Drosophila melanogaster: one gene and its partners. The protein of the gene in region 4 interacts with the protein of the main gene of each other region in a pairwise test. Each region holds a gene or a part of one and is shown on either strand. Other genes may lie near its edges.

Region 1 (6,004 bases), on a different chromosome or scaffold from region 4:
TTACCCGGCTTGTACGAGCTCTGAATAATGGAGGTGCTGCCCGCTTGTGGAAAATGCTGTGATTTAAATATTTAAAAAGTGGCAGAAATAAAATGGAAGACAGCTTTTGTTTAAATGCCTTTTATGTACAATATTGAGCCAGCAGGCAATCGAGCAATAAATCAATGCAAAATAATGCATGTGCATATCGAACGTTTTTCTTGTTTTGGCTCAAGGTTGTATTGTTGTTTATCACAAAACGGTTTAAGCACCGCTTTGCGGCACCTTTAGTTAAAACGTTTTTCCTTATTCTACTGCATACTTAGTCGCTACATTCAAAAATGTATTGAAGGCAGTTTCGAATTAAGATTTAAGATATGGCGGGCTTAATTACAAATATAGCCACATTTGTTTGATTCTTTTGCTCAATGCTAGAAATTACTTTATTTGTATGCATGTAGTGCCATAAATCCGATAAATATTCAGTTGTATGTATTTAAACGACATTTCCTTGATATTAAAATGTTATATCTGCTACTGCTTTTTATTTGTGAAATCATTTCCAACCCGGTTTTTTGCTCCATGGCATTACAAAGTGTCCGCGGGGCGGTTTCGGCGCCGTGGCATCCGGTGGTCGGCGACCGGAAATGGCATTAATGCCTAAGCTCGACGCCCTTTGCGCCATTATAATTAAATGCGCTGGCGACTTCTGCACTCCGTCTGAAAAGTGCACCCTGCAAATAATTAGCACGGCTCGGAATCCTGTGAGTAATTAAGGTAAGTCAGCTGTTGCCTCCGTCTCGAGTGGGGCCAAAAAACGGAAAGAGCAAAAAGTGTCGTCCATTGTCAACGGAAATTAAAGTTTAATGGGACAACGTTTTTTTTTTTTAGAATTTCCAAGTGAGAAATAAGCTTGTCCGGCTGTTTTTACGCTGACCAAATGTTCGTAACATTTCAAGCTATTAAACTAGAATTTTACCAACTTGATGGCACACACAAGTGAGAAAACTGTTGTAAAAACATGGAAAATTCTGAGGGAGTCGGAGTTTTTCCAGCAGTGGCATGTGAAAAGCAATTACAGAAGTGATTTAGAAAAATGCAAATGTGAAAATATTTAGAGAACTATTTCCATTGGGAACTGGCATAGTTGAAAATTCGTTGTATTTTTTCTTTTTCAAGTGAGAGTGGAAATAATTTTAATAATTTTGTGTGCCAAACACCGGCGCAGATGCGGTTTGTGACACTTCCTTTAATAAACAACAGCGTTAAATAATTGAATTTCCACTCTCCATCGCTAAGCCGCTATTAATGAATTTTTAATTAGCGTGCTTAATTTAATTAGTTAATTGATAAGGGAATCTTTTTTATGTACTTTGCTTTGTTAATCTCTGTGATGTATGGAGCTTTAATGTGTCACTACAACATTTGTCCTTTATACATCGACAAACAAAATGCGTATTTATTTTGCAGTTAAATGGCTTGAATTCGTGATTCTTTCGTTCACTTTTGTTTGCTTATCTCACACAAAGCCCTTTATCTGGCCACCTTGTTTCGCTCTCTAGATTACGTTCATTTATGGGCCGTAAATAATTAGTTAATTGAACCGGAATTATCGGAAAACGTTAAAAGCACTGTCTAGTCAAAAATAAAACACATGGATTATGGGATTTCTTTCTTTACTTTGAACTTATATTAAATCATGATTTTTTGTTCTTAGCGCCTAATCAGTAAAGCCGCTTCCTTTTTAGTTAAGCTTTGCATTTGCTAGCAGAACACAGTTCGATTGCCACTGTTTGAAAACAGAACGTAGCTCGTAAGTGCGATAACGCTCTAAATTAGTCACGACACGTACATATTATTTCACCGCACTTTTATAGACTGCACCTCCAGCCAAATCATCACAGCGGCTATAGCCACATATATAGCCACGATCATGAAGATCTGCAGGGGACTGGCGGTGAAAACTTGGACCACCAGCATCACGGTTCCCAGAATAAACACCCCGGACAGGAAGCTGACCATCAGTATGGTGGACCAGTTGCGAAACCAGGCGTGCTTTTTATCCGGCGGCGGTACAAAAATCGGTTTCAGCGGGCTGTACTCCTTCTTATACTGAGTCTCGTATCCGCTGGTAAAGTCAACCTCATCGTGGTACGTCCCCGGACCCGAGGTTCCAGCCTTAGTCTCATCCGTGTCCATTTCAAAACGCGTTCTGCTCTCGACTAAAGAGCGATTCGCTGGTCTCCGGGCATTTTCAGCGGTTTTTTCCTTCCCTCTTTTTCATGATTACCAATCAGTTTGGGGTCTGGGTTATTATCGCCACGGCAGAAGGTGGTAATTGAGGCAACAACAAGGCAAACAGTGAACCGTCAAGAGCTGACAATCTTCTTTTTGTTGCTTGTGACTCAGATAAGATAACTATATAAGTCTGAGAAAACCCGTCAAACGAGAGCGGAGAAGAGTCTCAAAATGACAAGAAAATCACATTGAAGTAAGAGATTGCGAAGAGAGATCAATTTGTTCTACGTTATCAATTTATGCTTACTTACGAATCATCAAACCCTATCAACTTTGATAACAATCTATTAAAAGCGATAAATGTTTTACATTCATATATTAGGCATTTCAGTACTTATATACTTCTGGCACTCTGTTTCCGTCTTGAGAGATTCTCTTTTTTGTCAGTTTCCCCGCTTTCAGCTATCTGAAGCTCCTTCTTCAGTTCCGTCGCCGGCTTTAAAGGCTCCTTCTTGCCTTGCCTAACCAAGCGACATTGAGGGCTTTCTTCGCCGTGTTTCGTTCTTTTCGACAAACAGCAGTGCTTTGCGGATCATTTAGCTTGAACAACCCACAATGCCACCAATTTCAGCGTATTTTTTACCTTTAGAGATCATGTTTTTAATCAAATTTCTTTTTTCGACGGTAAAATGCTTGCCGCGACCCATGACTAGAGAACTTTTGGTCTTCGTTTGGAAAAAATTCAATTAAAACCTTTAATACAACTCCTTTTTCAAAATTTGTCGAAAAAAACCCAAAGCAATCACTCTATTATTCAGCAAATACGTGGTCAGTGCTATTTTTGTTACCGCCTCATTTCGCGCACTTTTGCAGCAAGTGCCCAAAAACAAAAAGAACCTTTACATTGAGAGACCATAAATTTCTTGCTCAGAGAGCCAACATATGGTACTTATTATTCATGCAATCTGACTTTAAAAAATATAAACATTTAATAATTATTTTTAGGAAATGAACTTTCCACCTCCAGTAGTGCTATTATTTTAACCGCAGCTGTATATATTTCCGTCTTGAGAGGTTCTCTTTAATGTTGTCTCTTAGTTTCAGTCAAATTCTCTGAAAGCTTTGGTTTTTACTTACAAATACCCTTTCTAGGGTTCTTATGGTGAGTTTACTCCTCTCAGAAATTTTCTTAAATAATTATTTTATTAGTTCATATTTTTTCTTACACTAATTTTAGTTATTTATCTAATGAATGTACTTGTGATCTCAGACTTACTTTACAGATACCTCTTATATAGTTTTACTTAGGACGGTAGTCCCTTAAAAATTTGTCAATATATTATCATTTTTAATGGTGCAAGCTGCATACGATCCGAAAGATTTTAGTACAGTGTGCCTCCGTTCTTGAATTCGATTCCCTTGAATATTTTTTCATGTTTGCAGATGAGTGCCTTCATCCAGTTTATACAGAGCCTTCAAGCTGAAAAGATCAGAGTGCCTCCAAAAAAATGGGGTATAATACTTATTTGAAAGTATTTCAAAAGCATTAAAGTGATAATTTGTTTATTTAAAGTGAAGAAAAAGATGTCTTATTGGATAGAGATAGTTGCACCCTCAACGGAGTGGACCAAGAACAAACCGATGCGATTCATAACGACTCTAATATGGAAATATTAACTGAGGAAGACTCAAGGCCATATACTTTTTTGCAAAACTTTAATTTCGTTGGCTTATGTGTTCTTTATAATTTTTGCATGCTTTTAATTGTTCTGTCCATATACATCTACAAACGATGGAATTAAAAAAGGGATTTTAAAATGATTTTGAGTACGTATCAAGCGCTAGTTAATTTGATTGCATTATGTATCCTGCTTAGCTGGGCTAACTTGTTTGCATTAGAAGAAAATGAAAGCTGCCTTCTGTCCTAAATGTACTTAAACTTCAGTCCACTTTATTGCCACCAAACAATTTAAGTTGTTGACAAAGTCATCAGCATGCATCAGTCAGCGGTTTTTAAAGAAAGTGCAGAGTCGGCGGAAAAAAATATGAGAAAACTCGCAGTTGCCTCTGTGGCATTTTTAGTTCCTTCAGCGCATCAACAAAACTTGTACATCTTGCTCGATGATCTACTCCGGATCTTGTTTACCGATTGTGCAACAATGTGTTCACTTTTAAATAATATCGAAAATCAGACTGTCTACTGTTTGTGTTTTTTTAATGGGAGATTGTTACTTTTATTTTTCGAAAGGTACACTAAATTCACTTTATCATTTCGATGCATTCGAATTAGGCAATTACTTACCCAGTGTGAACTTTTCATATCAACCCGGCTTATAGATAACCCCCTCGAGTTTGGCCCAGTTCTTCGCACCTTGGCCAGGGCTCATTATTCAAAGCTAAGACTCAGATTAAATGGAAAGCGATAGAATGACTGGCGGAGTGAAAAATGCTAAGAAAGAATCAAAAATTCATGAGGCGGTGCGCGCGAATTATAGCGACTTACTTGATGGTTTAAAGGCGCCCTTGCCGCGGCTATTCAGCTTTTTAGCTTGCCTGTTTTGCCCGCCAACATGCGTTTGTTGTTGCAAACTTTTTCCATCAAAAGTTTCGGTTTTCGATACGCCTGCTGCTGGCAGCTACCGATCCCCATTACCCATTCCTTATTCCCCGCTCCCATTTTCCATCCCCCCATCCATTCTGAAATTCCGCTCCAGCTTCAACTGGGAAAAGTGCCACTTCCGCTTTGCGTCAGTGCACACGGCTGCCGAGCACAAAAGTGTGACTGAAGTGGCTGAAACCAGCTCGATTTTCCCAGCCCATTTCCCGCCCACTTTGGTGGCGGCTGCCGAGGCTCAGGTGTTAATTAACTTGGGGGCCGGCACTAAATTTTAAAACTGCAACTTGCCCAAAATTAATGAGACTGACGTTTGTGCGAGTTACGAGCGAGCTGGAATTATAATTTCGGCATGGCGGACAAACTGCAGAGCAGGCTAACTTTCAAGTGGTCGGCAAGGATGCCCGGAGATCATGAATATTCATCAGGACGAGACGCAGCGTCCAATGTTAAGCCGTAAGCTATTGGTTGTTTCTGTCTGTTATACACGTGCTTAATAACATCTAAGCCTCTGTAAGCTATATTGAATCAGGTAGTTAATACGGATAGTAATATTTATAGAACAATGAACATTTGAAATCCACCCCAGCACCCCGTACTCGCAAAGTAAAGGGATATAGTAGATTCGTTCGCTGCACAGTTTGTAACAGGTAAGTGTCTTATGCATATTCATCAGGATCTTTTCCGTGTCTATCTGTTCGGTTCATCTGTCCGTTTTAGCGCTTTAATTTTGGGAACTGTAAAAGTACGAAAGTCCAGGTAGGCAGGCTTTTCAGAAGATTGCCACGCCCACTCTAACAACCATAATTGTCACGCCCACACACAAAATAATCTCGACAATCGTAGATCCGGCTTATCAGTTAATCTTGTTAGCCGAATGTAAAATGCATATTCAATTTTGGCATATATAATTCCATTTCAAGTGCTTCTCATGTTTGCCTGCGTGTTTGATTAATGAAGCCCCCAAGTTAATTACGCAACTGTTTGAAATTCACTTCCCGTTGATTTCTGTACGCCATCGATCTTTGGCCGTAGAGTGTCAACGGGGAATGTCGGCCAACAACTGGCAAAGGAAGACGTGTACAAGGACGAGTATAGCTGCCAAATGGCAGCAGAAGGCAAGTGAACTGTTGAGCTCAGTGCATGACACTAAATCAATTGGGCCAAGTGTCT
Region 2 (8,070 bases), about 17 Mb from region 4:
TCTTCTTTTGTGGCCACCATCGCTTGGTCCTACGGCATCGGACTGAGCATCAAGTTCCAATTGTCCTTCGACGCGGCCTTTGCCACTGGAACAGAGATCTATACATCGCCCTTCGTAAGGGTCCTTCCATATATCCTGGGAGCTGTAACGGCTTGGCTATTGCAAGAGAATCGAGTCCAGTTGGAGATCAGCGAGCAAAAGGAACGGGCATGCTGGCACTTCGCCTTATTCGTCTTCTTCGCCTGCATTTATTCGACTGTCAAACGGGATCTTGGACCTCTGATGGCCATCACGCTTTTTGTGATGGGTCGCCTGTTCTTTTCGCTTAGTGTATGCTGGATGATAGCGCGCAGCTGCGATGGCCGGGGGGTGTGGTGGTCACGCCTGCTGGAGGCCAAGGGCTTCCAACATGTCAGTCGACTGTCCTACGCCATTTACCTTCTCAATCCGCTGGTCATAGCGTTATTCTACAGTTTAACCAACGCGAGCACACATGCGGATCCTTTCATGCTGGTGAGTACCATGTGGACTTCATTACCTTTTGTTTTTTTAAATGACTCCAATAACTTTGTCATCAATTTTTAGTGCGTGGTGACCTGCGGCTTTGCTGTCATAGTCTACCTGGCTTCCATCCTCTTTTCGCTGGCCTTTGAGCTGCCCTTCAGCAATCTTTCAAGTTTGCTAAATCGACGGCAGAGCAAGCCAAAATCGATTTAAAGATGCTAGCCCTAAACTAGATCGTTAAGGTCACCGCACACGCCTCCATCTGACAATTGTGATTGCTTTCATGTACAACTAATCATTATTATCGAATCACTAAACTTAGTCTTATCTTAGTCAATGTTACTTATATTGTATTTACTTATATGATATATCCTGTACTTCGGTGGAAACCATACTTAATAAGATAATCACTAGCTGTATATGTACTTTGTGTTACGTAAAATCATTATTCCCCAGCACAGAATATACAACTGTTGAAAAAATTTAAAAATCTGAATAATTTACTCGATATATGTTGGAATGGTCCTTCTTTAAAGGATATACATTGTGTATATTTGGCTTTTATTATATGATCGTAAGGCAGTGGAATTCACATAAGGTAAGGTAATACAAAATATTGTTTTAAGTCGATTTGCATATGTCGTAGTATCCAGGACATACTTCACATTTCTTTAAAAATTCAGCATAGGGATTCGGTCCAGTAGAAACAAAAAACATTCGTACGCGCCTCAAAATATCCGACGAATGCTCTTCAATTTCATTGAAGTCCCACTTTGGATGGTGCTTACTTATGCACAGTATTATCTGATATAGAATGGATTCCGTGGGAAAATAATATTTTAGCATTTGGCACATTTCCTCCCTCACAGTTTCCACAAATGTTTGCGTTAGCGCCATTATAAGCTTAAAAGTGTCGACTTCCAAATGCTCTGACATTCTACTTATCAAAATGTCGAAGCTCTCTGAGCTTGCAATATGTTTCTTGAGTTGGGTTCCGTATTCTCGCAGGTTTATTTCCTGCCCCTTGACTTTAATAGATAAATCTATTTCTATTTCTGGAAGATCACTTGGAGTATTTTCTGGTTTTTCAGCCTCCACAACCTTTTTTGATTTCTTGATCTTGCTATCAATGGGCTGAAATATTTTATCCAGCTTCGGTATTGAGGGCACTCCATTGCAACAACGAATGAGATTCACATTTCCCTCAATTTTAAATGATTCCCTAGCAATCTTATCCCACGCCGATCTAGAAATATTTTTATTTAGATTTGCGAGCAATATGAATCCTTTGATACCTACCGTTGCTGATTAACAAAAATGCTGGGATCATTATTATTATTATTCATCAGCGATTCAAGGCGTGAATTGTACAGATTATTCGTAAATAATACTAAGGAATCGGATAGACCAGCCACATCACCAGATTGTGTAGAACTATGAGGATTCTACATGAAAGACAAACAATTTAAACAAATTCGAATGTATGTTAATGAAATATGAAGTTTATACCAAAATCGACGAAAGCATCTTTTCACTGGCGCAGAAGTCGAAAACCTCTTCAGGATAAACCAGAAATGGAACTGAATGTATGATGATTTTTCTAAGTTTATTAGTCACACTGGATGCTTTTTTCAACGATTCGGGTGTTATTGGTATATCTTTCTTATTTGGGTGCCATATCTGAGTGGTAGTATACGTTTTTAGCTCAACGCGACCATCGGTTTGCTTGTAAACTCCAAGATACGGGGTGACCATTAGACCTGCGGCAAACCCCGTATGGGTCACAAATCGGTTCCAGGAATCAGACATTGAGTACTGTGACACATATGACATGCAACAGTCAATGTTGCTGGAATGTCCAGTTTCATCTTGTACAAATAAAAAAATATAATACATTTCTCGATTTACTTATAACTATCGAGCTTACCCACGCATCGTCGGCATCGAAACACCGGATACAGGCGCCAGGATCTACTTTCTTCGGCCAGCTTGGGATCATATACATTATTGACAACCATCACAAAAAATAAAGACGTGAGTGACTGCCCTTTGGAGTATTTTCCTGATATGAGAAAGTAGATAACATAATGACGCTTATTTGGAATATATTATTAATTTTACTATAACTATAACTCACTATAACTCCAGATCGCATGAAACATGTTAGAATCGAAATTCAGCAGAGACAGCTTTGCCTTCAATATGTTTTCTTGACCCGACGATATTCTGCAAACCTTGAGCTTTATAATTTGCAATTTTTTCGGATGAATCCTACTTACAGATCCCAGGTTATATCGTTGCCATGGCCCAGGATGTCGGCAAACTTTTGCTGCACTTCTCTGACTGTGGGAACTAAGTTTCCGTCCCCTTTTGGAGCACTCATTTTTGCAAACTTTTATTCCTGCTTATTTCTAGAACTTCTTCTGTTGCACGTAGAAGATGGAAGTTGCAACAAAAGGCGGCTATCGATAGTCAGTGCTGACGAACTGTCACTATCTAAGTAATATGATGTATTTACCAGTCATATTAGGGATATTTGTAATTTAAATAAACATTAAATAAAACACTTATCAAAATGTATATCTCTTAATGTTTATGATCACCCCAATATTGTTTACATTCGACTGTTTGTAAATAATTAGGTTTCATAAAAGGCATTATTACTCAACGAATTAAATATTATTCTAATTTTTGTTATTAAGTAATTAAGTAATTACAAAATTTAGTTGGCTGATAACGATATTAGTGCAATTTAAAAAGTTAAAATCTTAATGTTAAGTTAAAATAGGTTTCCTATCGGTTGAATCAATTATCATTGCGTTTCTTCGTAATTTACAACTTACGAATGGCGACTGAGCCGATGCACTTTAATCGATAGCAATTTTGGCAGATGGATCTTGAAAATCTAGGCAAGCTAGATGAGAAAGCGATAGAAATGGTCACCCCAAATTTTAAACGCGTGTCGATGCTTGAGTTCCATCCCTATCTCCCGCTTTCAGTTAACATTCCAGTGGTGTATATAAAATCTTATGCCTGGGGTTTTTGAAATTTATACTTAAATAATATATATTAATACTGAACATGTTAATATTTTTAAATGTGTTTTGATACAAATATTGTTAAAAACTAGATTTCTTTAACTCTGAATATTCAAAAAGTTTTATGAAGCCAACTCCCCTTAACAGCCCTTCTTTACAACTAACAACAACGCCTCTGTTAAATATAACAGTGAATTTCGCCGCTTTAACAGCAACTGAGAGCGGCTAACAGTGCGAGAGAAATTCGAACGGGGCAGCAACAAAAAAGAAGAAAAAGACTGGTAATAACGCTACGCTTCTCAGTTACTCAGTTCCGAACGGGCAAAAAACAATTTAGCGCCCTCTGAAACGCTCTGTGTTTTATTTTCCACTTAAAATATTAAAAAAGTGCATAAAAATTGCACACGTCGCTGATAACTCGCTCGGTATACTTATTCTCTAAAATACTGTCTTTCAAATCAGTTGGAAAATATGACATGATAATAAGTGAACAATAGCCGCGCCGAGAATTTTTCGACGAGTGACGGCGGTTATTCCGTTTTTTATTCAGTTTTTCTTAAAAAACCCAAGCGCATAAACAATTAAAGTCGGACAACACCATCGTTAAATGAATTAAAAGTGAATAAAAGCGCTGTCAACGCCTTTTTGGGCAGCGAAAAAAGGAAAGAGAAATCCAGGCCCAGCATCCTTCAGCCTGCTTCTTCTTCTTCCTCTTCATCTCCTTTTGCATTTCTTTTCGCCGCGTCTGTATAGGTGTTCGTGTTGGTGTGGTTGTGTGCAAGCTTGAAAATTGTGTTAAGTTAAGTAAATTTATTCCAGCTGCCAACAACAAATTGATGCCAAAAATCTATACAAATTAAGTGCTGCGTGCGCGTGTGTGTTGAATTAGCACTCCCAATTGGTGTCTCTTTCGCTCTAACTCTGTTTTTGAACTGTTACCCAAAGCGATGGGTGTGTGTAAGTGTGCGTGAGTGCTTCACATGGAAATTAATTAAAAACGCACATTTGTTGCCATTTCCCTCGCTCTCCCGCAAGGATTCGACTGACTGGCTAATGAGGAAGCAGCCAGGCGAACAACCAGCAGGTGACTATTAATACATAAAAAAAAGCATAAAATGTATGAAATTAATTATGCGAGTGCTTGGATACTATCTCTCCAGATTTCGAGGGGTTTTGTCTTTTACTTTTGCTTATCAGCATCCATTGAACAGTATCCTATTGTTGTCATTGTTGCTGCGGGGAGGGACACTTGCTCTCTCGCTCACTCTCTTTCATGTGTGGGTAGCGTTTTTTTTTTTTGTTTTTTATATACGCATCTATCTCTTCTTTCGCTCTTTTCTTCGCCTTTAAGAGGCGTTGTTGTTGTGTGCTCTTCTTTTGTGCTTTTTTCCAACATGAATTTTCTTCGCTTTTTGTTAGCACGTCGCTGTCGCTGAGGACTGACCTTGAACAAGTTCAGGCACAGTGGCACGCATGCCTGTTTGTTGTCCTCCGTTTTGGCTCGTCTGCTCCTTTTCGCCTTTTTCAACTCGTTGTCCTTGGCCTGTCCCACTGTGCCGCCTCGCTCCGTCTCCCTCTTCCTATCTTTCTGTGCGCCTCGCTCCCGTCTGAATGTTTGCCCAAGACTGCGAGAGTGTTTACCTCATCACTTAGGTACAGTGGAAATCTCACTAGTTCCGATACACCGCTTATCAATAAAAAATAACCCATTTCTATATCAATTTTTCCTGATATCAATCAAGTCATATGTATTCAACTTATTACATATTCAATAGATTTGTTATCTGAAGAAGAAGTCGCTAAGAAGACCGTGTTCGAGTCCCACTAAGATAGCACCATATCTCTAAGGGCGATATTTTGGATCTAAATCGATTTTTGTGTGATTTTCGCTAATAGACATTTAACACGTGTACTTTAAATTAATGTTTAATTTATTGAGCACTATGGCTTATAAGGAATTACAATCATTCCGTTCAGTTTAAAGTTCATTGTTTGCATTGGCGCTTCAAATTTTCAATCACATGCTCGTTGGCGAAGCTCTGATTTTTAATTGCGCCAGCTTCCGCGAGAAGCTCTCGCTCTCTCTTTTTCCCACATTCATCTCCCCTCGATCGGCCGTCTCTGTCGAATGGGCTTTAACGCTTTTTTCAGTGGCGCAAAATAACGTTGTATACGCTTTGCTTGACTGTTTGTTTGCCTATCAGCTGCTGTCACCGCTTTTCACCCGTTTGCGCCTTCTGGCCCACTGATAACCGGCGGTGCGAGGCGTTAGACGTCGGCGGTGTTACTTTTATTGGTCCGTACAGTGACCCCGAGATTCTCCGCCGACGTAACGTCACGTCAACGTTTTCAGCTTTTTGCTTTCTCTTTTACTCCCCCTTGCCGCGCCGAAATTTTCGACACGTACGAACTGCTATTCATTATTAATACCCGAATTTCGAGCGATTTGCGATCCTAAACAGTACGTTTATGAAATAACATCCTTATGTCTCACAACTTAATCTTTCAACTGTTTTCTACTTCCTTTTGGGTTTCTCCACTCGACTTATTCATGCTTTTCTAAGATATGCGAAAAGTAATCTGCATGTAGCAAGTTTCACAGAATTTTGTGTATAAGCACACCAATCTTAATAATTTTAAGAAAATTGTATTTTGGTCTTTATCAATGTGCTAGTATCAGCTAGAATATAATACTCTAATACTCGAACATAATAATTCATTCCGTTTCATCATGTGATCCCCTCATGTGAGACTTTCAAATTCAATGCTTCAAATAAATATAATGTTTATCAGATAATTGTTTTTTTTTTTTGAAACCAGCGGAACATCGAGAGAATAACACTTATTTCCATTGTGAATTTGTTTAGATAAGGCATACCAAAATACTTTAAAAGTTTATGTTCGTATAATGCAAATTGTTCTTTTATTTTAAACAAATACATACACGTGCCTCTCTTCTCACACACGCATTTGCTGATGTGGATACATTCTATAAATATTGCAAGTATTTGGAATTTCTTGATTGCGCGCGTAAATGGATAGAAACCAGACATCCACGAAATTTGTGCACTGCAGGAGAACTTTAATTTATTACTGGATTTCTTACTTACTGGATCATCGTGTGATTTCTTTAATTTACATGCGAGCGATTCCGAGCGTTGCAAGAACAGCAAAAAATGGCCATGATCATGTTTGTCTAGTTCGTTTTAATTTTTATCAGCAAAAAATTTAATTGAGTGCAAATCGCGAGCCGAACCGAGCAAGTTTCCAGAAATGTGAACTTCCCAAACACCAAGAAAACTGAGTCACCACACAAACATTTCGATTGTCTGCTTCAGCGAGCCCATCAAGGCGTCGTCCAGTTGCTTTTCCCTTGCTAAATGTTCTTTATTTTGCCTATTGAAATACAAATATGTGCAGTGTGTTCACTATCGAGTCCCAATGTACAAATGTCCCGTGTACCAAAGAAACGCTGAGAGTGCGTGCAGAAAACACGTTTTGTTCGGGGCTCCGAAACCGGACTTTGCCCTGTGAAAAGGTAAACAAAAGGCGCTTAATTAAATTTTCATACGCAGCCGAGGAATATGTATTCATAAGTTATTTAGCGTGCGAGAGAACGGGAGCGACCAACCCTGCAGAGGAAGTCCATAAAGTAGGCAGGACCTCGGCTTGGGCGTGGTTCCTCTAGTTTTGCATTTTTATTCCCCTCCACTGCAGCACAAGCTATTTTAATTGCCAATTTGCGGGGTCGCCGGTTTGTCACTCAGCCCGTCGTGTCCTTCAATCGAGCTGAATGTATTTGTCGTCGCCACACAGCCACCCCCCGCCCACTTTATATGATCCCCTCCATCGGGGGTTATGAGTAATGCCCTGCACTTTATGTGCAAAACAGGAAACTTCGCCATCCGTGTCCTGAATAACGAATACATGCAACTATGTACTTTCTACAACCGCAAGCTGCACTGGATGAGTTAATTATGGGCTTGAGCATATACACTGCGAGAAATGGGCCCGAGGCCTCGCATCTCGAATGCTTAAAGTTTATTTTTTCGACATTGTAAGCTTATCTCGGTGAAACTAACTTTGCCCTTGGGTGTAGTACAATCAAAGGAAACTGCGTCTTACTATAAAGAAAATAAAATCGTTTGTTTTTAATTTTGAAATGTATGATTCGACTATAAATTTTTAGTAAATATGTTTATGATAATTTATGATGACTTCTTTCAGTCTTCAAGTCAACTTTGTTTGATGAGGCAGTGATTAATATGAAATCGAGGTTTGGATTACTTGGATCAATTTCTGTGAGTGGAGGCCAACGCCCAAGCCGCAGACCACAGGAATTGGGCAAGATAGAGCTCGTAAATCCCGAGAAGGCGGCGGATAATGCCTCGGAGGTTCGGGCAGATTGCATCCGCATCCGTTGGCTGCGATGCCTGACGTTGCGATTGCGATTACAATTGCAATCCAAAGTGGCATCCACACCCGCACTAAGTTGCATTCGCCTAAATATCTGTCTGGCATCGTTATT
Region 3 (10,037 bases), on a different chromosome or scaffold from region 4:
AATGACGTAGCTTTTCTTAAATATGGCAATTATTGTAATTCGGCACGATGGACCAAATATTAATTGCCAGGAGTCTCGGTTATCCTCGTAATTTTTGAAAATAATTTAATTTTTTATTGCTGCTGTCTTATATTTACTTTTCAATTATCGAATAATTTTGGAGCATTTGCCTTACTAGACCTCGAAATTATAAATTAGTACGCATACGTTTTGAGCTACTTGACCCACTGTGCGCTGTCAGTGTGAAACTTGCAAAAGGGCACGTTCGCTAGTGAAGCGGACAAGTGCGTCCGCCCCTCTTTCGTCCTGATTGATTTGCATAATTGGCAGACTCGGCGACAAAGTGGATTAGAGTCGTCCACCCTGGCTCAGAAAACACACTTGAGATTTACAATTTGGCCTTTTCAAATGCCTAAAAAACACATTTGGGCAGGCGAAATTAAAACGAAAATATTTAACCCTTTGGCTAAGAAACAGAATTACAAAGCATGGGAATGTGCGACAAAAAGAGTGGGCTTATAATAAGGCAAAAAAAAAGGGAGCTAAATAAAAGATATATAAAATATATATATTGCAAAATCATCATCTTCAGGTAACGTTTAAAGTGTATTGTTGAAACTTAAGCTCAACTTTGAAAGCAATTACTCGAGAATTACAAACTGCCTAAACATACCAATTAAGCAAAAATACAGCTTAACAACTGCTTAGACACAAATTTAAAATTAAATTTTTGCCCATTTATAAGCGGATTGCTGAACGAATGCTCTCCACAATGTAAATCGCTTTTACAAAGCCCATGGTTGCCAACTAATGAAGTGCATAATTTACAAACGATTATGATTCCCTTTGGTTGCCCCGGCCTCCACTGCCACGCCCACTCACATTTGTCTGTACGCATTAAGTGATCAGAATTTGTTGCCTGAAACAGACAGGAACACTCCGCAGCAGCCAAACTCATATCTGTACTACTTAAGCCCAATAAAGATGTGCATATTTTTTAGGCAATTGCCAAAAGTTGGAGTACGCCTTTGTACTGATGAAACGCATGGCAGGCGAAATTATGATGTCGTTAATACAATTTCTATGCTGGCACGGTCGTGCAGTACTGCGTCGATACGACAAACCCAATCGTTCCGTTCTTACAAGCCCTTAAATCAAATAAATTACATATCAGAATTCGCGAATTCTTTAGCACATCAAATTTGGGTCAATGCTATATTCTTAACTATCAACTTACTGTTGATTCGAACCATACATATGTACATATATGGCTCATATCCCCCATAGGCAATACCCACTGTTTTCCTCATCACGGTCCTTTATGTTTCACTACACGCGTCCTAAATCAATTACGAAAAGCAGAACAACAGCAGAGAAGAGCCGCGTTGTCCATGATGTGCGTGTCGGTATAGCTTGACAAAATTCCGGTGGTTTTTATACCCGTTACTCGTAGAGTAAAGTAAATATATAAAGTATATATATTCTTGATCAGGATCAATAGCCGAGTGTGTCCGCAGCGAAAGTGTGTTGACCCATGTTGCCACTCCCGCCCTAAAGCCGCCAAACCGGTCACGGTTTGAACAATTTTAAAATTTTTCTCATTTTTATTTTATATTTATCCATATCCCAATGATGAAATTTCGCGTTCGCATTCACACTAGCTGAGTAACGGGTATCTGATAGTCGAGGCTATAGCATTCACCCTTGTTTTTTTGTCTTTGCCACTGTGCGTGTGGACACCTGTAGCACCATCTGCCTTGAAGACCTTCTAAGAAAAAGGAGGGAGAACACTACAGTCCAGTGCCACGACTATTAGATACCCATTACTCAGCTAAAAAATCGGGCATACAAAATGTATAAAATTGCATCCTTACTCTTTTAGTTACAAGTCCATACGAACGAACAGACGGACGGACAAGGCTCGTTAACGATTTCTTTTACCAGTTAAATACTTAAGTTGCGACATATGTAGTATGCCCCTTACTCTACAAGTTAACTGGTATGATAACCACAAGCCAGCCGACTGTTGGTGAAAAATCTCGTGGGGCAACGCAAAGTCTCGGCGAAAGTAAATTAAAAATATTTTTGAGAAACGGATCTCAGCAGTTAATCCTTTTAAAAAAGTTTGCCTAACTAATTGAGCACACAAATCAAATGGCTGCCAAAACCGCAAGAATAACAAAAAGGCGGCCAAGAAAAATCGAGCAGTATGCCAAGAATAATAAAGGCTAATTAAAGCCATAACAAAGAATAGTCGACAGGGGAAACCAAAGTTTTGGCCAATGTAAATGAACAAGATGGGCGAGAAGGTAGAAGACCAAAGCTCTTGCCAAGTAAATTCAAATTTGCCGTTAAACATTTTAAAAGCTTACAAAACAAGCATAGCTTTAAGCTTATAAGCTTATATATCGCTTTTTAAGCTTAAATTTCACTATATTTATAACGTATATTTAAATTTAATCTCACTGTTAGTAAACAAATTATTTGCATAAGTTTCATGTGAGTAAAATGACTTCTTGACCATACAGCGTGAAAATATTCTTGATAGTTTTTTAGATCCAGATATGACCGAAAATAAAACACATAATTTGTAATTTGTATTTGTTTTAACGTTTACTTGCAGACACATACATACTTTAATCATCTTTTAACTTACATACGCTGCGTAATATTCAATGGATTTCTGCTAACTCGTTTTACTTAGAGGAGAACTTTTCTAGTAAATACTGCAATAGCACTAAACAAAAATTCACTAACTTAAAAACGATTGATGGAAATATATGATGCAAAAGTTGTTTGGTAAGAACAAGTTCAGAAAACATTAATAATTTTAATAATAGGATAAACACAGATATTTTGTAGTTGTCTTAAACATAGTGGATCGAGACCCAAAGTGGCATTCCGAAAAAAAATTTACAAACAAAAAAAAATCGGTATGTGTGTGTGTGTTGTTTCTGGCGTAGTGTATAAATTACAATTAATGATTTTTCGGTTTGTTTTGGTTTCGGTTTGGGGAATAGCATACATATATATAAATATATTTTGGACACATCCTCCGGCCAGCTTACGCCTCCTTCTTGTGCTTGAACTTGTTCTTGAGTAGACCGGGCAGCAAGGATGCACAGGCGCAGGCCATCAGGATGCCCATTGAGGTCCAGGAGAAGGCCTCGCTCGAACTAGTCATCTTCTGGAGCGTCTTGCCCGCCTGGATGGCGATCACCGAGGGCGGTGCCACGCCGCAGAAGGTGCCCAATGCGAAGATGTGCAGCGGCACACCGATGACTGGCGATGCCAGGTTGATGAACCAGTTAGGCAGGATCGGTGTCATGCGCAGGAATAGCATATAGTTGAACAAACTGTCCCGGTACTCCTCGACATGCTTCGACCACTCGCTGGTCTTCTTCGGCCAGAAGTGACGAATCAGACGACGTCCGACCAGATTGGAAAGTGTATAGCATAGGGTAGCGCCCAGCGCCGAACAGAAACATATGAGGAACAGGGCGATCGGGAACTTGTACAGGAATCCCAGCAGAATCGAGAGGAACAGCGATCCGGGAATGGCGAATGTTTGCAGGCTATAAATGGATTTCAATTGGGTCAAGGTAACCAGTCGTAGGCGGTTTCATCTGATACCTGCAGTGGCAACTAAATTTAATGACCTATTCGACGTATTGCCACATTGATATGTTTTATATGGCAAAATTAGCGAAACTATTAGAGAGATGTTTTAGGAGATTGCCAGTATTCTTTGTTTATTTTTTGGCTAAAAACATGTCATGTCACATTGGCTAGCAAAATACGTTCTTTCTTGGAACCACTGTGCTTGGGATTAAAGACAGATCGTACGACTAGTTGGACGCGTGCTCGAACGTCTGTGGGCGGGTATTTATAGACGCAAAGAGTTGACAATGACACCCCCATCGTCCGAGAATCCCCCACAGTCTCGTTCCATCTGGCATCGGACCACGTATTCAACAAATGCCCGATAACAAATGCACGGGCCAATAAAAAATGCTCACTAACACACTGGCGCAAGGCTATAAAGTTACGTATGTGCTTTAGCTTTTGATTTCGCTTCTAGGTTGCCTCTTTATTTTTTTGTTTATTCCTGCTAAAAACGCACTTGAGTGCGGAAGAAGAAGAGCAATAAACAAAATACAAAAAATCAAAACACTGACGACAACAAAATAATGTCCAGCTCAGCTGATTTTCGCGACGAAAACAGCAACAAATACAAAGAATGCGTCATATAAACGACCAAAGTCGATTTTTAGGTAGCACATGCTGCGTGCACTGGAGTGGACCTTATTAAAACGATAAACTTGACACGCACCGATAAAAACTAATCATTTTAAAATATCTTAAACCCAGTTGGGTTAGCAAAACATTTTCTAAATAAACTAATAGCAACACAGTTAACATTGCGTATACGTTATTTTATTACTCATACGCACAGTGAAGAACCAGTTTTGAGCATTGTGGGTTTATTTTTTTGTTTGCATTGAATTCTAGTAACACGAAATGCTAGCGTGTGAGGAAAATCCAAAGAAATACGGTCCACCCCAGAGAGTGCAAGTAGTAAGTAAGAGCAAGAAGGCAACCTCAGCGGCTCCCCTGCTTCCTACAGCTATCTCACTCGCACTTCCCCGTGCTACCCACGTATTTAATATGCACACTATGCGCTTCAAACGGTGATCGTGAATTAATTAAGGTGGAAACACACACAAACGCCCGACTGACCGTGAATAGTTTGTAGTGGCGGGGTCTTCATTTTTGGTAATCGGGTCAAGGTCACCGCCGAACGATAGAACTCTTTTATTATCTAATCAGTCGGCGACCGACTTTTCATGCCATTTTTCGTACTTTGGATTTGTACTTTTGGATTTGGTAAAAGGATACAATACGTAGGCGACCACGACGCCAAACATCACTTCGAAGTAGTACATGTCCTTGTAGCGATCAAGGACCTTGGCTAGCATCTTAGCATCTTGGATATCACGCGGAATTTTCAAGTGTTGTTTCTCCGACCTGCAGAAGTTGGGCAAGAACAAAACCGAGACGAGGTGTAAACACAGTCTATGTATATATGTATATATATACAAATACTTCATATATCGGTGGCGTGACTCGATGTGTGTGTGTGTGTGTGTGCGAGTAAACCCTCTCGCCAGATAGCTCTGTAATTTCAGCCATTTTCCAGTCAAATCTGGCTACTCAACTGGAGCTTAATTGAAATATTTCTTAATTTACAAATTTAGATAAGTTTGGTTGCTAGGGACTGGTATATAATATTACTATTTGATTAACTATCTAAATAGAAAACCATTGTTATTTATTGAATACTATACTTTAATAACTCTTTGTAAATAGTTCCTATCTTTACTGCCCAAAAACGCCTCTTAAATGGAAGCAAACTCACGATATACAGATAAGTGTTTTTATAATGCCGTAAAAGGTATCATGATTTGGTTACTATTTCAATTACTTTATAATCACTGTATGCCAATGCAGTGAAAAGGCACGAACACAAAAAAGAACAACAAAATAGATAAGTAAAATTTCACAGCATTATCAATAAGAATAATGGGTCTGCCAAGGGACTTTGAAAAAGATTAGAGGGATCTGCACTTATAGTTTTCAACACGTTACGTTTGCTGATCAAATTTGACAAAAAAAAAACAAAGATTGTTCTCTGACTTGCTGATTCCATGCAAATCAAATTCTGATGAATTCAAATTGATAGAAGTATATGTACACAAACGTCTTGAACTTTAAACAAAATAAGTTTACTCACTCACAGAACCAGACTATCAAATAACAATCCGCTTTAGGTAAAGTTTAAAGATAATAATAATCGTGTGCAGAAAGTTTTTCTTATGCAAAGCGTGACATTTGAGTTAAGTTACTTATTTAACATGGCTGTTATAGTAAATATTTGGACAATTAAATGGCCCTTTTCTCACTACATACAAATAGTTATGTCTGATCTAGCCAATAATAAGTATTTGCAATAAGAGTTTTACATCCTACAAATGTAATATCTATGATATTTAAACATAAAATATTGTTTTAGAAGCGAAATGGAGATAACTAGCATTAGGTAAATGACTACCTAGCATATCTAATCATAGTTGGATGTAGCCTAGCTATTTTAAGCGGATCATTGGTCGACATCTCTGCTCGCAAATCAAGCGAGACAAGCTAAGCATACACACACACACACATGGAGGCCACTTAACACCTTACAGGTGCACGAATGCGCAGGGGACACACATTTGTGGCGCTTTAGCACCAGAAAGACCCACTTACGCGTTGAGCTCGGGGAATATGGCGTACACATAGCACATGGTGACCAAGCTGGCCACAAAAATGCCCGCTACGATGACCAGGGACTTCTTGGTGGCCTTCTTCTCGTCTGCGGACATGGCCTGCTTTTGCGGAGTGGCCTGTTGTTGTTGCTGCTGCTGCTGTTGTTGCTGTGGATTAAGATCTTGTTGCTCCTGTGGCGGCACCTGTGGCAACAGTGGAGTAGCCACCTGATCCGGGGAGTGTTCCTGGAGCGCCTTTGCCCTGCCATTGCGCATTGTAATCCCCTCGTCAGCGGAAATGGCTAGAAAAAAAAAACAGAGACATGCAGATGTAATATGCATTCCAAAGCAGAAGTGGTGGTGGTGAACAGAATGCACGGACTAAGGGTTAATAGTCGTTTTTGGCTTCACGGGCTGCGCACTAGCTGCGGGTTAATCACCGTTCCTTCGCTCAGCTGATAAGTAAAAACAACTAAAACAGCACACTCACCCACACCACTGCAGTAAGACATTGTGGCTTTGACACGATGTACGTAAGCCCGAGTTGAAGAAGGAAAATTTAATAAGCCTTCTATATCCGATTTTAATTCACGATTGACTCATTTAGCGTCTAGGCTATTTATCAATTGTTAATGCTATTTGTGTGCCTATTTGCGCGCCAGTCACAATTTGTTGTTCTTCTCTCTATCCGCGTGCCTATGCGTATGTGTATGTGCGTGTGTCTACAACAATGAATTTAATCAATATAAAAAAAATAGGAAGTTGGCTAAAACTGCGTTAACTAGAGTAATTGTAGTTGACTACTGCGCTAATAGCAATTTTTTTAAATTTTTTCTATTGCTTTTCACTTTAGCCGACTTTTTCGGCGAACGATCACGCTTAAAAGTCAATTTAAAATAAATTAATTTCAGAAATTTCCGTCACGACCAGTGTGGCCGAAGGCGCAGTGTTGATTAAGTCCAAGCGTGTACACAGCTACCGCACAAAACTGAACGTGGGTTTCTAATAAAATCTGGTCATACTGTCATATTTAGCGCCACTTTTTAGTTTCTCTAAATTTTATTTATATTTTTTAATGTTATACGTAAATAAAAAAATGTGAGTGTCTGCATAAGCAAGTGAAGTACTTTTTTTGTATCTATAAATATCAACATAATAGTGCCCTTTTTCTTTTTGCCAAAAGACTCCATATTAATTACCACCTCCATGAAATACTGATAGAAATAGTGGAATTAAACAGTGCACTTTTTATTTTGTATGAAAATAGATTTAATAAAAATCTCATCAATATATTTAACATTCTATAATGAAACTACGACCTTCAGTGGGTAGCAAACGCATTCACGAAACTTAAGGGATTAGGTTAACTTGTTTTCATGTAAAAAAAAAAGTACGTTGGTATCTAGTCTAGAATCTGTTAGGAATCTGCTGTTGTCTTGTTTTTGAGCTGACGGTATAGCTGAACCATTTTGCTGCGCTCGGTTTCAAGCATTGACCTCGTAGCCAAGGGCAGATCTTTCCGCTTGCCCTTCATCTGGGCCTTGGTGGGTGCTTTGAAGGCGCTCTTAGATTGGGCAGCCAGCTTTAGTCGACTGCTGTCGTCGTCCTCCGGCCCACGATTTGACTGACCCTGGTCGGGATTCAGCATGGACTTTAGAAGGAGATTGGCTTTGCGTCCTGGACGCGGCACGGTTTCACTTTTTTCCGCTTTGCGCGGCAGGATTTTGAGGGAAGGTGGGGCATGGACGATCTCACCAAATGCCACAGCATCCTGTTTGAATTCTGTTGGCCCGGCATTCTGCTTCTCCTCGGTATCAACCTCTTGCTGGGCCTCCTTGTAGGCCCTCTTCACCAATTCGCGACTGGTCTTCGCATCCATGGGCTTGTGTACGACTTGAACCTTTTTGCGACCCCTTTTGCCCGCCAGCCGTTGCTCCTTTTGCTTCTGCTTGAGCAGCTCGTCGATCTCGTTTTTCGGCCTCTTTTGGACAGTAATCTCCCCGGTTTTGGGGTTTCTGATCACGTTCACACCATACTTGGCCTCGTAGTGGGCTTCCCGTACGGATGCATTGGTCATGCGATTCACTCGGCGCAGATAATCCTCGTCCGTTTCGTTGGCGAACTGCTTGATGTTACGCGTTTCCTTTGAGGAGGAACTACTGCCAGGCTTGGATCCTGGAGAGGATTTGGGCTTATCCTCCCGTCCAATTTCGCCCAATCTTAGCTTCTTGCCCGATTTGGTGGCGTTGGCAAGCTGCTGAAACTGACGGAACTTAAAGGACACCTGCTGCTCATCCTTTTTCACAGGCGGATTGTTCGTTACTTTGGAAAGTCTGAAATGTGAAATGGTGCAGATATTAGTTTAGCTGCCTTTTTCGACTGACTTGCCACTATGAACAAACTTCTTCTCCTTCTGTTCCAGCTGCTTGAGGGGATCACGGACGCCGTGGTGCTTGCGCACGGGAATCTTTCGTTTCCGAGCCATTTATTTTGGGTTTTGGTTCAATTTTTGTAAAACAAACTCGTGGTATCGACAGCATGGGTTAAAATACTAAGCGCGATGCATGCTGACAAATACCAAAACAAACCATAAATATACCAAATCGATTAAAGCTTGGACTCAAACCATTGGCGCCCAGAATTACAAATGAAATATTAAAGTTAAATATATATTAGATTAAATATATAAATGTATTTTACACTATGTATTGTATTAAGTAGTCTTCATATTCCCCTATTTTATAATATACATTTTTAATAAAGATTTATATGCTGTAATGAGAAAAGTATTTTATTGCAAGTGGTAAAATTTACTGTTTGCAGTAAAATTAAATATTTAAAGTCACGAATTTGTCTTAATTTATTGTTTTATTAGTTTATAAGCAACGACAAAATGAAGAATAAGTCTGAAACGGCACTTTCGAACTGAATACGTATGATTTAAATGTACATATGCATATTATGTACGCAAATTAATTTCATTATAAAGCTACAAATAATTTAGCTGAAGTGAAATTTTTTTTGATTGCAAATGGCAATGAATGAATAAGTATCTGGATATTAATTAATTGTCCGTTCTTATAAAGAACATACATTAATTTTTGACCAAAATACGTTAACAATTTAAAGTATGTACGCCGAGGCGGCAGTAGGTGTAACATCATTATCATCGCTGAAGTTCAGCAGGTAATCATCGTCAAAATTGTTGTGGGGCGAGCTGAATCGAAGTGATTGATCATCAAAGTTGTTGAATGTGGACGACGGATGCTTAAAGTAATCCGGCATTGGTTGGCTCATTGGGAACTCCTCCTCCTCCAATTTTAGTCGCTTGCAAGGCGGCGCCTCGTTTTCATCGCGATTGCTACCATAGTTCATAAACTGGGTTGCAGTAAAACGATTAAGAGTGCCCTTGGAGGTGCTGGGTATATCGTCGCTGGCCCAGGAAGATATGTTTTTGAAGGGAGAGAGAGTGTCGACTCTAATTATTTGTGGTTTATCGGAAATTTCATTGGATAGCTGCTCATCAGTCTTCGGGTTTTCGCCGATTTTTACTTGTTTGGCCGCATCAGCCGGCTCCTCCTCTCCTGAAGCCTCCCCTCCGGATTCCTTGTCATCCGATACGGATTCCTCGACTTCTGAGCCAGATTTCTCATCATATCTATCCTGTTCTAGATGCAAAACCTCTTCTGACTTTTCTACTTTTACCTCCTGCTCAAATCCTTCATCTTT
Region 4 (6,691 bases):
GCCGCATAATCGGATTGTCCAGGTCGTATTGCCTGTGCCAAAACTTCCGCGTCGTATTACCTGCTGCTGCCGTTGGTGCCAGTCCGGGAATACTCGGCTGGGGCAGATACTTTTCCGGATTCTTGCCCTCCTTCAACAAGCGCAGATGAGGCGGTGTGTAAGCCTTCTTGCTGGCCTCTGGCTGGCTGGACTTGATGCCCTCGTGCTTGGCCTTGGTAATCTTGGGCTCGCTGAACGTCTTATCCGCAAACTGCTGCCACTCAATTCCCAACAATTCCTGACCCTGGGGCCACATGGTCTCGTGGAGCAGGGCCCCGGAGTAGTGGTACACCTTGAACCTGCGAGAAATTTGCTTTAATGGTAGTATGCACAATATGCACTTGGATGGATCCACTTACCCATTGCTAATGCGCAGCCTGGGCGCGGTGGTGGCCGTGACGAACCACTCGCCATTGGGATGCCACTCAAAAACCGTGGTATCAGCACACTTGAGGTTAGCCAGCTTCTCGCGCTTGGACACATCCCACACCTCGACGGCTCCAGGCAGATTGCCGAAGCCGGCGAGAGCTATGAGGTTGCCAAATGGATTGAAGTAGGCACAGTTGCGTGGACCCTCACCGAAGTCGAAGACTACGTCGCACTTGAGGTTGTAGAGAGCAGCCTTGGATGGCATGAAGCCGTATACGACTACAAACTCAGTTGCCTTAGGACTCCACTTGACACAATGCACCGGTCCCTCCTTAGAGAGGGGCACTGAGCAGGTGTCGCCCTTGGTTGCCATGAAGTGCACCGCCTGGTTGCCGTAGTAGGAGGCACCGCTCTTATCCACTTCCGTGCTGGTTAGGAGAAGCAGTCCGCTGCCTCGCTTGTTCCACAACATCTCGACGCGATCCGCCTGGAAAAAGCTCTTGCAGGCTACGGTCTGATTCTGGCCAAGCGCCGGGTACTTGTAGAGCTTGCACATGGACGGAGCGCCCTTGGCTCCCGGCGTGTAGAACGCAAGGAACGGGGGGCAGTTACCGGGACCCAGCGACAGCATACCGCCGCGACTGCCTCCTATCTTGCGCGATGTGGTGGCGAATCCCTTCTCCGCTCCCTCGCCGAGGTCATAGAAGAGTGCCTCGCCGCCGACTACCAAAGCGAAGATGGACTCGTCCGCCGACCAGGAGGGCTGCCAGTCCGCTTGGTTCTTCTGGACGATGGCAAACACTTCGACACCGGTGGCCACTTCGTAGACGAGCAGATTGGGTGACCCCTCCGGCCGGTCCTTAGTGATGGCATAGTGCTCCCAGGTGCACAGGTAGCTGCCACGTGGCGAGAATTGGAGGTAGAAGGCTTTCGGCCTGGGCAGCACGCATATCACTGGCCAGCTGGCTGCGCTGTCCCGGCTGGCCTGGAGCACCTTGACTTCCTGCCCGTTGGAGTAGGCGAAGTACCGGCCGTTGGAGCTGAAGCAGATCGAGCGCGAGCTCTTCGTCTCCTCGCGCGGCAGGTGGGGCTTGTGCTCGAAGGGCTGCTTGGAGCCCGCCGAGGACCACAATTCCACGGCCACGCTAGAGCGAACTGTTGATGAGAATCGAGAGGTGACCCCGATTAGCAGGTGGAAACACGAGGTCGCGCGGTTTTTCCAGTTTTTCCGCTAACCGGGCGGCCCAATCGGCTGCCTTCGATGCTCCAAGGAGTCGACGGCACCTCAGTGACCACCTGGCGGGGATTGCATCCGGGCTATACTCACTGGCAAGGGTAGGAACAACCAGATCCGCAGCTGCAGCCATTGTCTTCCAATCTCACACGCACACACACACAGGAACAAGCACGTCGGTGGTGTTGTTGCTGTTGTTTTTGTTGTCGTGTCGTCTGATGTACAATCAGTGTTGGTCAACGATTTCGTGCTTGAATTGGTCACACACGGTTGCCGTGTACGCGGTGTATCGATAAGCGATAGTAAACATGCATGGGCATTGGCGCCACAACGACACGTTTAAACATCAACCAAACCAAACCGAACGTATTTAGAACTCCAACAAAATATCTGCTCCACGTGAATTTAAAAACATTTTAGTACTAAAAAATTTGGAACAGAAACGCTAAGCATTTCGACTGCTCCAATCGAAGGTGTGCTGATGGAATCTATATGTTAGAACAATTATTTTCAAAAATCCAATCGCGGCATATAAAATATGAGCGGTTATTTTCGGATATTTGGCTAGGAAACGGTAGGAAATATTTAGAGTATATATTACATCTTAACACAGCTAAACATTCTTTATTGAACAAATAAATCCAAAGTTATATGAACACAATTTAAATCTAACCAACGAATTTGGCGATTAATTGTGTTTAAATCTATACACTTTCTGATCGCGAGTTTTTATCTTGTAACACGTTAAAATATATACATATATTCTTAATTCGAAAGCTGATTTAAGAGACTAAGAGCCGAACAGCCATTTACTACAAATCTAAATCAGATATTAATAACACCAGGAACTCACAAAATACATAGATCGAAGTGGAATACATATAATTTACATACAACTAAGATATTATATTCCGACATCATCGACTGATGAGATAGCTCTCTGACTAAAGACTTGCCCGCACTTAGTGGACCGTATGAGGCAACACCAAATCTTGGAATTTTAAACATTAAACTAATAGATCACACAAGTCTGTACATTCAGGTAGGGTGAGCCCAGGCTCGGCGCCACTTCAGCGATAGAGCCGCACCTGCTGCTTGAGATCCTGGTCGCTTATTCGGTCCTGGAGGTTCAATTCCGCCTCCTGTTTGCGCAGGAGCTCAAAGATGGCCGCCAGCTGCTCGCGCTCTATTCGGCGCTCCTCCTCGATTTGGCTGGGAGTCAGGGTCTTCTCCATCTTATGCTGGAGCCTCTTGGCCTTGAGCTGGCCCATCAGGTGGTTGTAGCTGTGCTCGGGCAGCTGTTCCTCGATTAGCTCAACTTCGCTTTCGGTGGAGTTCTCTTCGTAGGCCTCGTCATCGTCGGTTTCCTCCCCTTGCGGAGTCCGTGACTCGGAATCCTCCTCATCGCGCGGCTCGTCGGCCCCCAGGCCCTCGTCCTCCAGTTCCTGCAAGATAATGTAAGGAAATATTCCAGGAGACGTCTACTTCTTCCGGCAAAAACACCCACGCCTTTGTCCTTGAAGATGTTGGCGAAGTAGAAGGCGACCAAAACGCACAGCAGAAGGGTGACCAGCGCTACCGAGTAGTGGCCTGGTAGTCCAAGAAAGAGAACATCCAGCGAAGGCAGAAAATCCTGCATTTCGAACTCTTTTTGCTATTTGTTGTGACTGAGTTCACTATTCTTGTTTTTCTTGGGGCGCAGTGTGGCCGTTAGCTGCGAACGAAATATTGCCAAGCAGCGCTAAGCGGATTTTCAAAAGGTTTTTTTTTTAATATTTTATATATTGGAAAAGTGAAGTACCTAATCCAACTTTGTTTAGTAAACTAACACTAAACGCATACATTTTAACAATCAAGAAATGGTAAATTACAAAATGCTTTAATATCGATGAAATCCACGCAGTAGTAGATCATCACATCATTTAAATAAATATTCTTAAGTCTATTGGCTGATGTTCATAGCAGATGTGTCCGAGCTCACATCTGCAATGTGGAATGAGGCATCTTCGGCGGGCATGTCATCCTCATCGGTGTACAATCGGCGTAGGCGCTCCTTATAGCTTTTAAAGTATAAGGGTTATTAAATTCGGAATGCATGAACAAATTAGGGCGTCTTACAGTTCGCTATCAGGATTATTGGCTTGATTTCGGCACTTGTCCAACTTTTTCTCGATGGCCTTGACCTTCTCCCGATCGGGCTGCTGATATTGCTTCACCATTATGCGAATTTCTGTCGGGAAAAAGGCATGTAGGGCTGGGCGCACCATCTCACAGCACAAACTTACTTCGCACGGCATCTATGAGTCCGGGTAGCTTCTCCCTGGCGGAGACAAACAGAAGATCCGTCACATAGCTATCGAGATTCTCTTGCTCTCTGCTGGCCGCGTGGAGGACGGCAGCCAATGCAATTTGCGAAGGCGTATGCAGAAGACAGGCATCCGAGTAGTACGTGGAATCAATGAAACTATCAATATGTGGCCGCAGACGATCTGGATTCTGCATATTGCTGCGAGTCTGAAACAAACCAATATGAACGAAACAATCTGGAGAGCAAATGTGAATATATATCGCACTTTTATATCTATCAGGAAACCCTCGATGGGTCTGAACGGATTGTGTATGGTGAGGTAGTAGTTGAGCTGTCCAATCAGCAGTAATTCATTGGACAACACTATGTCGGTGGCCTTGTTCCTGTCGCCCTTGATGTTGTTTACGAACTGGTTGATGGACACGTTGAACTCCTCAACTTTGCAGGCAACGAACACGCATGTGGCTCTGAAAAGGTTTATACATTTTTAGAATGTTTTGCTTTTCAGCTGGGTGTTTGCTGCTCTCAGGTGAGCGTTCCTACAGAATCTCCTTGGGGTGATAGTCCATGGGGGAGTTGTTCAGATAGAACCGCTTGAAGTAGTGGAAGGCCGTGCCCACAACGCACTTGGGCATCGTCGGTTCGAAGCGGCGGCAGAAATCGAACAGGTAGATCTCGTACTGCTTCAGCAACAGGCGCTCCTCCGCCGACGTGAGAAAGTGCTCATTGAGGTCGCGACCCTGCGCCTCCTCCTCGTGCGACTCGATGTACTTGCTGTTCTGCTCCACGCGGAACTCCATGAGCTGGCCCTCATTGGCGAATGTCCAGGACCTCTTTTGCGAGCTCACAGGATACATCTTGCTCAGCTGCCGGCGAATTTATGCCGATTCGAAACTCAGACACCCTGCATGGTGTTACCGATTGCGGGACGGAGAAAAATACCAGTTGTGAAAAAATATTAGGGTGATTCGTACAATAGTCACTTTTATTTCATTGGAAATCAGAAGCGCAAGATTGGCAAAAATTGAGAACGTATAACTAACTGTATGGGCTATGATTTAATCAATAAGTGAACACGTTTTAATACAGCTACAAGTTCGAGTATAATTTTAGTAGGGAAAACATCATTTATTTTGGTTTTAGTTCTAAAATATTTATTAAATATAAATCAAAAATAACTTTTTATCAATCTTCTTGTATTAAAAATCTAGTTTCAAATTTAAATAACTACAATCATCTTTTTAGGCCCGAATACATTTCATACAGAATGCATTCCATTTTAAATATTTCATATTTCAAGAAAATTACCTATGCCCATTCAACGTACAAGTTATAGGAATAATAAATTAATAGTTATTAAAGCTGGATCAAAAATAAATTAAAGAGTTAAAGGAAACGAAGGCAGATGTTTAAAGTGACGTACTTATATGAACATACAGTATGTATGTATGTATATACAACAAAGTTGAATTTATGGACCCAGTTAACAGTTTCCTTTTTTCTTGGCCGAATTTCTGAACGCACGTGCTACGCATTTTTTAACTTTGAGGTGCCTGCAGCATCAGTCGGCTCAGAGTTGAATTAATATTGTTTTGCTTTTGTTTTTGCAATTGGGTCACTTAAATCTGCGGACGTGAAAACAGCGGAACAGTAGCGGGAATTACTCTTTCGTTTTTGAACGGCAATAATCCTTTAAATAATCGTTTCTGTACAATTATAGTTTCTTAATTCATTTTGTGAAATTAATCGTAAGAATACAATGGTTATCCCAGGATATAGCGTTTTTTGTTGGGAATACCTTTCAGAGAATATTTTGATTTTAGTCTGTAGTGTGCAACAGAGACATTCGTGACCATATAAAGGATATATATTCTTGATCAGTATCAGCAGCCGAGTTCACATACATATATCCGTTCGTCAGTTTCTACGCAAACAAGTCATTTAAATCTGAAGCAATCTGCTGGCAGTATGTATATTATATACTATTATAGCAAAGACACTAGAATTATTTGAGTGTCTTTGATTATAGTATGAATATTATATAAGATTGAACGGGACGGATCTGACCACTATATGATAAATCTGCTATAGGAATTATTACCTTCGCTGTATTTATTCATATGTATATGTATGACTACGTTTTGACTAACGTTTTATTATTCGTACCAGAAATGTGGCAAATTATACTTGACTTCCCTTTTTGGTTCTATAAACTTTAAAGAAATTTTTACCATTCGGAAATAAGATTGTGGCTAAGGGTATTCTTAATAGTGGTTAAACTAACTATATTTACTTTTACTTTAGGTGATGTAATATATATTGCATTAATTCTGTAGTATGCATTTATTTAACTGCGTTCTCCTTATTTTCCATATCATGCCCTAATTGGCAATAGTGCCTAAGTTGGCTCACAACTCTTAAAAGTCTTAATTTTGTATTTACTTGAGCTACCAAAAGACATTCAATTGCTTGGTAACTCCGAAGCCTAAAGATCAATCGAGTGTAAGGCATATCGAGTACTTTGTATGCAGGAGCTGCCTTCTGTGGCAATAAAATTGCAATTAATTTTTATTGACAACTCTGAACTCCTGTTGTATCGTCTGGTTGGTGATCTTTTCGCGACTTCTCAGTAATTTCACAAGGTAAAGAGTGTTTTTGTCTCGAACTGTAATGCTGCTAAACGGATCTTTCAGAGCATCTTTATTTGGCATCTTAACACAAATTGGCAACCAATTAAATTA

What was found.
Region 1: the proteins of CG7407 (region 4) and CG15152 interact in a two-hybrid assay, tested with the Drosophila melanogaster proteins (one large-scale study listed by BioGRID).
Region 2: the proteins of CG7407 (region 4) and CG11357 interact in a two-hybrid assay, tested with the Drosophila melanogaster proteins (one large-scale study listed by BioGRID).
Region 3: the proteins of CG7407 (region 4) and stas interact in a two-hybrid assay, tested with the Drosophila melanogaster proteins (one large-scale study listed by BioGRID).

What each region holds. Positions count from the first base shown.
Region 1 is NT_033779.5:18,110,857-18,116,860, reverse strand, and holds CG15152 (uncharacterized protein), read right to left. Parts: upstream 2,315-6,004; 5' UTR 2,179-2,314; coding exon 1,840-2,178; 3' UTR 1,641-1,839; downstream 1-1,640. Other genes in the region: CG44476 (uncharacterized protein), read left to right, coding at 3,726-3,730, 3,791-4,019.
Region 2 is NT_037436.4:4,538,282-4,546,351, forward strand, and holds the start of CG11357 (uncharacterized protein), read left to right. Parts: upstream 1-3,769; 5' UTR 3,770-3,823; intron 3,824-3,838; exon of another isoform or gene 3,839-4,361; 5' UTR 4,362-4,626; intron 4,627-8,070. Other genes in the region: CG11353 (uncharacterized protein), read left to right, coding at 1-513, 586-717; CG32243 (uncharacterized protein), read right to left, coding at 1,126-1,750, 1,804-1,949, 2,014-2,372, 2,432-2,566, 2,642-2,730, 2,784-2,887.
Region 3 is NC_004354.4:17,620,631-17,630,667, forward strand, and holds stas (stasimon), read right to left. Parts: upstream 7,266-10,037; 5' UTR 6,821-7,265; coding exon 6,799-6,820; intron 6,611-6,798; coding exon 6,310-6,610; intron 5,029-6,309; coding exon 4,900-5,028; coding exon of another isoform or gene 4,827-4,899; exon of another isoform or gene 3,634-4,826; intron 3,576-3,633; coding exon 3,065-3,575; 3' UTR 2,591-3,064; downstream 1-2,590. Other genes in the region: CG8326 (uncharacterized protein), read right to left, coding at 7,726-8,641, 8,711-8,793; corolla, read right to left, coding at 9,432-10,037. UniProt on the Drosophila melanogaster protein: Required in cholinergic neurons, but not in motor neurons, for normal neurotransmitter release by motor neurons. Involved in muscle growth.
Region 4 is NT_037436.4:21,820,122-21,826,812, reverse strand, and holds CG7407 (uncharacterized protein), read right to left. Parts: upstream 3,353-6,691; 5' UTR 3,282-3,352; coding exon 3,150-3,281; intron 3,088-3,149; coding exon 2,713-3,087; 3' UTR 2,242-2,712; downstream 1-2,241. Other genes in the region: eIF2A (eukaryotic translation initiation factor 2A), read right to left, coding at 61-338, 399-1,563, 1,736-1,775; CycH (cyclin H), read right to left, coding at 3,585-3,702, 3,761-3,872, 3,928-4,156, 4,216-4,417, 4,494-4,807.